2 linked regions of the Mus musculus genome follow. The protein of the gene in region 1 interacts with the protein of each later gene in a pairwise test. Links are inferred from orthologs where the notes say so. Each region holds a gene or a part of one and is shown in the gene's direction. Other genes may lie near its edges.

Region 1 (4,358 bases):
AGGCTGTTGTGAGTAACAGTGGTGATGCTTCAGTTCCTCAGGGGAAGACTGGATGTTCTGAAAGATGGCACAACTCAGAACTCACAAGAGAGAAAAATGCCGTGTGCTGTCATATGCCTGTTGTCATCCTTGTGACAAGTCCCAGGCCAAGCAGGGCTACACAGTGAGACTTCACCTCAGAACAAACAATAACAAAAGGCCTATTGGCTTTTCAGTACTTCTTATGCTGAACATATTTTGCACACAGATCAAATCCAAGTGTTATTATTAATGCTCCTGTGATGAAACCAATCCTTTACTTCTGCACATAAACTCTTCTCAAAGTGGCCAAATGGACCCGAAACCATTTAAACTGGGAACACTTAGAAGTAAGGCTAAAGGGCCCCACTACACCCTTTAGGCATGTTATCAATATCTGTGATAGTTATTTTTGGTTGTCCATTTGACTACATCTGGATTTCACTAAAACCCAAAAATGGAAGAACACATACGTGAACAATTTTGCCTACTCTGAAGTGGGAAAACCCACTGCTTTGTGTTTTTAAGAGGATTTCTCAGTGTAGCCCTGGGTGTCTTGGAACTTGCTCTGTAGACCAGGCCTGCCTCTGCCTCCCCAGTGCTGGCAAGCTGGCTTGGTGGAAGATCCACTTTGAATTCACATCTTTGAGGAGGGAGAACACACCTTTGTTATTCAAACCTATTCTTGTTATTCAAAGTCAGAAGATGCACCTTCTGCTGGAAACTAAAAGAAAGACATGAAACAAGATTTTCCTCCCTGCCACCCCCAGGACAGGGCTTATCTGTGTAACCCCGCTTGTCCTGGAACTGACTCTGTAGACAACGCTGGCCTCAACTCATAGAGCTTCGCCTGCTTCTGCCTCCACTGCCAGCCTGCTTTTACTCTGCCTACTTGCTCTCACTCTCGTTGACAAGTCCGCTCCTTCACTGTCATTAGCGCCTACTTCTTTGGGATTCTGATGTATAATGAAGACCAACTGAGACATCCATTCTTGTTGACTGAATGCCTACTGGAATTTTGAACCTTCCATGTATACAGCCACATATATACTATTTTAAAAATAGAAATCCAGTATTAACGGAAAAATCTTGCTAAGCCCCCAGGCCTGTGCAATCTTATGCAGACACCTGGGTGGATCTCTAAATCCCTTCAGGTCTACTGACTCCCCAGGGTTCAAAACCCCACTCCTTAGCTTCTTACTCAGGGTGACACCTCACACTGCCACTAAGAGGCTCGCCAGAACACTGCCTCTAGACAAAGCCTAAACATGATCTGAGTGACCGGCGTCGCACCCGGTGGGCGTCACGTGACAGACTCGGCGTTCCTCCAATCGCTGTGCGAGGAGCGGGGATTCCATCTAGTACTTGGCCTCAGGTTTACAACGTCCTGCTCTTCCATTCCCCAAACGGGCCGGCTTTTTGCTACCAACCAGCTAGCAGTGATTCTCAAGTGTTTCCCTTTCAAACAGCTTCAAGGGGCTCGGGCCTATAGCGCACTCAGCTCCGGAAGTGACGTCTCCCAGAGGGGCCGGAAGTGGCAGTGGAGGGAGGGAAGATGGCGGAGGTGGTGAGTCCGGTGCCCGGGGCGGGGCGGAGGGAGCCAGGGGAGGTGGGTAGAGCCCGAGGCCCCCCAGTAGCCGACCCTGGCGCCGCGCTGTCTCCCCAGGGGGAGATAATCGAGGGCTGCCGCCTGCCCGTGCTGCGGCGCAACCAGGACAACGAAGATGAGTGGCGTGAGTGACGTCGGGGGGCGGGTCCAAGGAACCTGAGGGCGAGGGGCGGGAGGGAGTCAACGATCGCACGGGAGGGGGAGGGGCTTCTGCAATCCCGGGGCGGTCGCAGATACTCGGGAGGAGGGGCGTGGCTTTTGGACGTACGGAGATGATCCGGGCGGGGCTTGGAGAGAGGTGTCACTTGGTGACTAAAGGGGTCTTGAACCAGCCCCTCTGAGTGCTGGGACACAGGCCTCCAGCCTGGAGGTGGGATTCAGGTCGAAGGGTGGAGTCTCCTGACCTGCCCTGGCTAAGACTCCCTGTCTGTGTGGTTCTCATAGCCCTGGCTGAGATCCTGAGCGTGAAGGACATCAGTGGCCGAAAGCTTTTCTATGTCCATTACATTGACTGTGAGTCCTGGGCCTGGATGGAGTGGGGTTGCTGGAGAGGGTTGAGGGCAGCCTCTGGCATTCCCTCCTGAGCCGTTTTCACTGCTGCAGTCAACAAACGTCTGGATGAATGGGTGACTCACGAGCGGCTGGACTTAAAGAAGATCCAATTTCCCAAGAAAGAGGCCAAGACACCTACCAAGAACGGACTTCCTGGGTCCCGCCCCGGCTCTCCCGAAAGAGAGGTGGTGAGTAGGTCCCCCATTTCATCTTTTCTCTCCTGCCTCTTCCTTCTTGCATCTCTTGGCCTCAGGGGTTCCTGAATGGGCAGGAGGCAGCATTCTTCTGCCATGGCTTCAGCTTGCAAAGGATGGGGACCAAGTTGCAGGCGTAGCTTCCAGAGTCCAGCACTGCCTTGCTTTAGAGAAGGCAGAGGGTGGGATTCCATGCTGAGGGGCCCATCCCCCCCTTCGCCATCCCACCACCATCCCCACCCCAGAGGAAGACCCTGGACCTATCTCTGCAGCCGGCCTCCGCCCAGGCCAGCGGGAAGACCTTGCCAATCCCGGTCCAGATCACACTCCGCTTCAACCTGCCCAAGGAGCGGGAGGCCATCCCAGGTGGCGAGCCTGACCAGCCGCTCTCCTCCAGCTCCTGCCTGCAACCCAACCACCGCTCAACGGTACCCTCAGCAATTCCAGGGACCTTGCTTTCTTCTCAGGTCCCACCTTCTCTACCTTCTGACCCACCTTTCCTGGTTTCTCTCTGCAGAAACGGAAGGTGGAGGTGGTTTCACCAGCAACCCCAGTGCCCAGCGAGACAGCCCCAGCCTCGGTTTTCCCTCAGGTGAGTCTTCCAGTCTTTTTTCATGTGTCTGAATGTTTTGTCTGTGTTTTGCATGTGTTCTACTTGCATGCCTGGTGCAGGTGGGCAGAAGAGGGCATTGGAGCCACTGAAACTGGAGTTAGAGATGGTTGTGAGCCACTCTGTGGGTCCTGGGAAAAGAACCCAGGAAGTCCTCTGGAAGATCAGGGCTCTTAACCACTGAGCCATCCCAACAGCCTGCCTGGTCTTTCCCCTCTTATTCCTTGCTGTCTAGCATCCTCCTCCAGGATCATCTCACGGTCGCTCTTTCTCTTGTGTCTTGTCCACAGAATGGGTCAGCCCGTAGGGCAGTGGCAGCCCAGCCTGGACGGAAGCGGAAATCTAATTGCTTGGGCACTGATGAGGTGGGTCTTGAGGAGCAGAGGGAGAGGGAAGCCGGGAAAGGGGGAGTGGGCTTGGGCATGGTGTTCACTCGGTGAGGCCTTAGGCAGGGAGGGTGGTGGCTGGGAGCCAAGCAGATGAACCCCTGGGCCTCTTCTACTCTCAGTTTCTCAGCCTCGCTTTATTTTGGAAGTGGAGGTTGGTGCTTTGCCCTTAGCTGATGTTAGACTTGCAGGAAGAAGCCAATGGCAGTGTCGTGCGCCACGCTCTGCTTAACTGCTACCATCTAGTATTTGCCATCTGCCTTGGGCAGGATTCTCAGGACAGCTCAGATGGAATACCGTCAGCACCACGAATGACTGGCAGTCTGGTGTCTGACCGGAGCCACGACGACATTGTCACCCGGATGAAGAACATTGAGTGTATTGAGCTTGGCCGGCACCGCCTCAAGCCGTGGTACTTCTCCCCGTACCCACAAGAGCTTACCACGCTACCCGTCCTCTACCTGTGCGAATTTTGCCTCAAATATGGCCGTAGCCTCAAGTGTCTGCAACGCCACTTGGTATGAGGGGTCTTGGGAGGCTGCCTATCCAGAGTACCCTCACCAGTCCCCACCTGATCCTCCTTTTGTCCTTAGACCAAATGTGATCTTCGGCACCCTCCAGGCAATGAAATTTACCGCAAGGGCACCATCTCCTTTTTTGAGATTGATGGACGGAAAAACAAGGTTAGTGGCTTGGGCACGGCTGGGCTGGAGTGAGTCACATGAACAACCTTTTCCTGCTCAGAACAGTTGACCATTCTGCCTATGAGCAGGTCACTGTTTTTATTGAATTCTTGACACGGAGCAGGGAATGTACAGAAAACTGGGATTTAGAGAAATTTTCTTTCCTGAGAGGTCACTGTCACGGCAGAGCAGACATGACAGCTACTCAGGTTCCAGTAACAGAGGGGGTTCAGCACAGTTCACAGGAAGCTGTCATCAGAGCTTGGAGGTGTGTGTGCCTATAATCCCAGCACTCAGAAAACTCCC
Region 2 (4,051 bases), on another chromosome or scaffold:
AACAAACAGCAAACAAAACAAAACAGAAGAGACTCCAGTGGGATCCTAACACAGAGAGAGACAGACCCAGGGATGGGAAGGGGAACTTTTCTTGCACAAGGAAGTTATGTATACTTGAACACTAGAGATTCAGGGGGAGAGTATGGAAACGAGTTAGAAAAGATGTATGGGAAAACCCATAGAAGCTGACTGAGGCAGGGTCCTAGTCCGTGGGAAACCTCTGCAATGTGGAGAAGGCCGAAGAGCCAACTGGGAATGAAAAGAATGACTGACAATCTGCCCTAGAGAGTCCACCAAGGAATTTTTTTTTGTAGCGCATAAAAGCTGACATCTGATCTGTTGTATTAACGAGACTGCTGTCTACTTTATTTCCCACGTGCTCGAATCTTCTGTGTAGTTACAAGAAAAACGGAGCTATCTGTTCCAAAACAGCTTATCCAAATGAACTGAAGCACGAAGAAGACAAATAAACTCTCTTCTGTTGTCAAAAAGTTACAGAGGACCATTTAATGTTGAAATCAAGTTATGTTCATTACTGTTGATCTGGTTGTTAACTTTATTATTGTTACTTTTGGCTGAGTCATTCCTGGGCCCTAAGTAGTAACGGTCACGTGAGAGTGAAACGTTATAATAGCAAAATGATTAGATTGGCCATAGAAACTACCCTGGGACTATAACACGTAGTGAAATAATAGTAAAGCTAATATAATAGCAAGCGCCAAAGCATTGCGAGGGAAGACAGCCCGGAGCATGTAGCCTGGAGCTCTTACATAGCCCTACCTGGGGCCTGAGCGCAGTAGCCGAGCGCACTCAGAAGGGTGATCAGCAGTCCCACTCCCGCTAGCTGGACAGACTCCCGAATCCTGGGGCGGGATGATTCCGCAGCCCATCTAGGGGCTCCACCCTTCTCCAGACAAGGGCACACCCTAAGGTCTGGGAGCTTCATTCTCGGAGAAATCCAAGTTCTTCTTTGATGTAGCCCCAGAAAAACCTCTCCAACCCCTCCCCAAGGGAAACGCTGATCTGAGCTGCGGAGTTGGCTGCACCTCGACAAGTGACCCGACTGCACCCGTACTCCACCTCCCTTCCCTCCTCCCCTCCCCACCTCCCTCCCCACCTCCCTCCCCACCTCCCCGCACTCCCTCCACCACCTCCCTCCGTCCCTCCAACCCAATCTGCCCCGGCGGCTTTCGGATTGCTTGTGGACTGCGCCTGCGCACATCTGGAGCTAAAAGTTCTCAACCAGAGGCGGTGCTCTGGTCTCCAGGCAACGGGATAACAGAGGTGGACAGAGAGCGCCTGCGTGGACGGCGGTTGGGTTTAGTCAGGTGTGGAAAACTAGGTCTTGGGGATTTTCCCTGAGCTGGAGCGGCCCCCGAGCGCCTCAGGTACGCCGAAAGGGGAGATACTGAGACCTCCCGAGGGGTTGGAGAGTGAGAGTTTATCCCTAGAGGCCGGGTCCCAGTAAGGACTCCCGTTTGACCCTCTGGGACAGAACATGACTCTGGAGTTCCGGATCCAAAGCGGGCTGGGGCGCTCAGGTGTCTGTCACCCCCTCTCCCAACACACTCTCTTTACAAGCCTGGTGCGGTTTGAGCCATAGAGCATCTTTGCATGAGGGCTTGACAGCCGGGCACCTGCTTCAGGCCCGGGTGGCTCGTGCTCTTTGTAGTTTGTAGCAAGGGGAAAGTCCAGGGAGTGCTTTGGGCCAGGCCCTGTCGCCAGGCCACTGTTCTCACCCCGTAAAACCGTGGGACTGGACTCAGAGCGGCCTCTGCAATTTACAAGAACCCGGGGCTGGTAAGAGCAGGTTGCCTGTTTTGTGTCACGGACGACCTTCTATCTAAAGCTTTTCCCACCCATTCCATAAATGGTGTAGAGCAGGTCATCTACAGGCCTGGAGGAAAGTCAGTGGCAGAACACCTGTGTCACGTCCATTCTTTGGTCCTCGGGGCTTAGCAATGTCTGGCCTGGCACATAACCATCACTCCCTAAATGCTTATTGAAAGAATGTCCTGGCAGAGCCAACACCACAGTCCCGAGAAACGTTTAAAGGGAATGTGGGTAGGGCAAATGGACAAACAGTTTACTCTAGCAGCCGGGAGTGAACCTCAGACAAATTCTTCACATGTATCTGCTTTAAATCTCCCCTAGGCTTCGGTCCAGGCACTGAATGGCTGGTCTCCAGTTGGCTCCACATCTGCCTGTGGGCGTTATGTTCCCACATAATAAAACAGAAGCTCCTGGACTCCACTCAGCTAAGCACGACCCTTACGAACAAAGTGACTCTTCCCAGCGGCCCTCGATGGGACATTTGAGGAATAGTTTCCAGTCGAAGCTTTGGAGCAACACAGAAATGGAGCAGGAGGACGAGGTCTCCACCCGCCCCAAAAGGAACGTCTGCACAAAAGCCCGGAGGCACTCCTGTCCCCACAGTGCAGGAATCAGGCAGCAAGGCTCAGGGAACAATGCCCAGGGCCAAGGAAAGGGTCTGTTTTACTTGTCTAGTCCGACACCCCGGTATCCCAAAGCAAATGACCAGGACTTCATTCCCTTTAGGAGGAAACGAGTGGGAGTGGATCGGGCTTACCCACTGAAACCCATGGTCCACCGGAAGTCACATAGTACAAGTGATGCGGGCGCAGACGGGGACCAGAATGGCTACCCAAGACTCCCTGACTCAAGTGAGTTTTCAGACAACAGCTTTGGTTTAAGGAGCTGGGTGAATTCATCTCTTCTTGCCTCTGTGCAGGCAGAGAAGGTCGTGGCGGAGCTCCATAGGACCGAGTGGACCCAGATCCAAAGGCTCGAAGCTGCAGGGGAGAGTTTACAGAAGGAGATCCGCAGAAAGGAGATTCTCCTACAAGAAAAGCTGAAGAAGACAGAGGAGGGTCTTCGAAGGATGCAGAAGGAAAAGAAACAGGCCATTTTCCAGGAAGACAGAGAGCTACAAAGGATGGTACTACCTAGAAGGAGGGTTCGAGATGGTGACCATGACACCCCACACAAACCCTGCTTGTCCCCAGAGTTCAGGTCTGAGGTATTCAGTAGAAACAGGGGAGAGGATCAAACTTGTGATCAGGCTCAGGAAAACCCTAGTCCACGCCAGCTCTCTGATTATGAACTCCAAAAGCTCAAAAGGGAAAGACTGATGGCCAGTAACAGTAAAATCCGAGATCAAGACGCAGGACCCTCAGCAGACGCGTTCTTTCAACCGGCAGAGGAGCTGGGCAGTACACTGCAGGAGTCAAGTCGGTCCGGGACACCAGGCTCCTCTGGGTCCAGCTCCTCCACAGAAGAGCCAGAGCTGGCCAAGTGCAGCCACTGTGGACGATCGTTTCTTTCCCTCAGGCTGCAGAGACACTCCACCGTCTGTGGCAAGATGCAAGGGTCCAAAAGAAAAGTGTTTGACTCTTCCAGGGCCCGGGCGAAGGGCACAGAACTAGAGCAGTACTTGAACTGGAGGGGACCAGCCACAGCCAAGGTAATAAAAGCCTCCTAGATTTGACTCTGTGCAGGGGTGCGTGGAATGGCCTGCTACGCCCTCACTGGTTTGCTTGTGGGAACTGGGGTAGTGTAGGACGGAGGGGAGAATCAGGATTTCTGTTTGCCTAGTCTCTCTAGTCAGAGCTTTGTGTAGGAGCCTCACAGTTCTGTGAGGGTAAGAATCTTATTGTGTCCGTGGGAATGTCATTACATTCATTCAAAAACCAAGGCCTAGGCTTCCCCTAAACGGATACGTGTCTGCACGCTCGTGCACATGCTTGCACACACATTGGACAGTTTAAGTAGATTCTTATCTTTCAGTGATGTCCTCAGAGACCCATGGGTAGTAGATCTACAGTCAATTGCTAATCAATAGCTCTTGCTAGTTACTATCCTAACACCTTTATGAATAGATAAATCTTAACTTTAATTGACCCCAAAATCCAGACTTCAAAATGTATGTCCTTTTGATTATTATAAAAATGAATTCGTGTTTGCTGCAGGAAAAAAATATTACACTTAAAACTTGCATTTAAAAAAACAACTATAAAATGTGTATTTTCTT

The links. The genes of interacting proteins can lie anywhere in the genome.
Region 2: the proteins of Kat5 (region 1) and Zc2hc1c interact in binary tests that used the Homo sapiens proteins (3 or more experiments, as listed by UniProt). The link is inferred for Mus musculus from reciprocal best matches to the Homo sapiens genes KAT5 and ZC2HC1C.

Annotation. Positions count from the first base shown.
Region 1 is NC_000085.6:5,607,245-5,611,602, reverse strand, and holds the start of Kat5 (histone acetyltransferase KAT5), read left to right. Parts: upstream 1-1,508; 5' UTR 1,509-1,573; coding exon 1,574-1,585; coding exon of another isoform or gene 1,586-1,684; coding exon 1,685-1,751; intron 1,752-1,858; exon of another isoform or gene 1,859-2,071; coding exon 2,072-2,140; intron 2,141-2,230; coding exon 2,231-2,367; intron 2,368-2,618; coding exon of another isoform or gene 2,619-2,645; coding exon 2,646-2,801; intron 2,802-2,890; coding exon 2,891-2,965; intron 2,966-3,273; coding exon 3,274-3,348; intron 3,349-3,638; coding exon 3,639-3,887; intron 3,888-3,962; coding exon 3,963-4,052; intron 4,053-4,358. UniProt on the Homo sapiens protein: Catalytic subunit of the NuA4 histone acetyltransferase complex, a multiprotein complex involved in transcriptional activation of select genes principally by acetylation of nucleosomal histones H2A and H4.
Region 2 is NC_000078.6:85,287,398-85,291,448, forward strand, and holds the start of Zc2hc1c (zinc finger C2HC domain-containing protein 1C), read left to right. Parts: upstream 1-1,193; 5' UTR 1,194-1,388; intron 1,389-2,154; 5' UTR 2,155-2,173; coding exon 2,174-3,484; intron 3,485-4,051. Other genes in the region: Acyp1 (acylphosphatase-1), read right to left, coding at 781-946.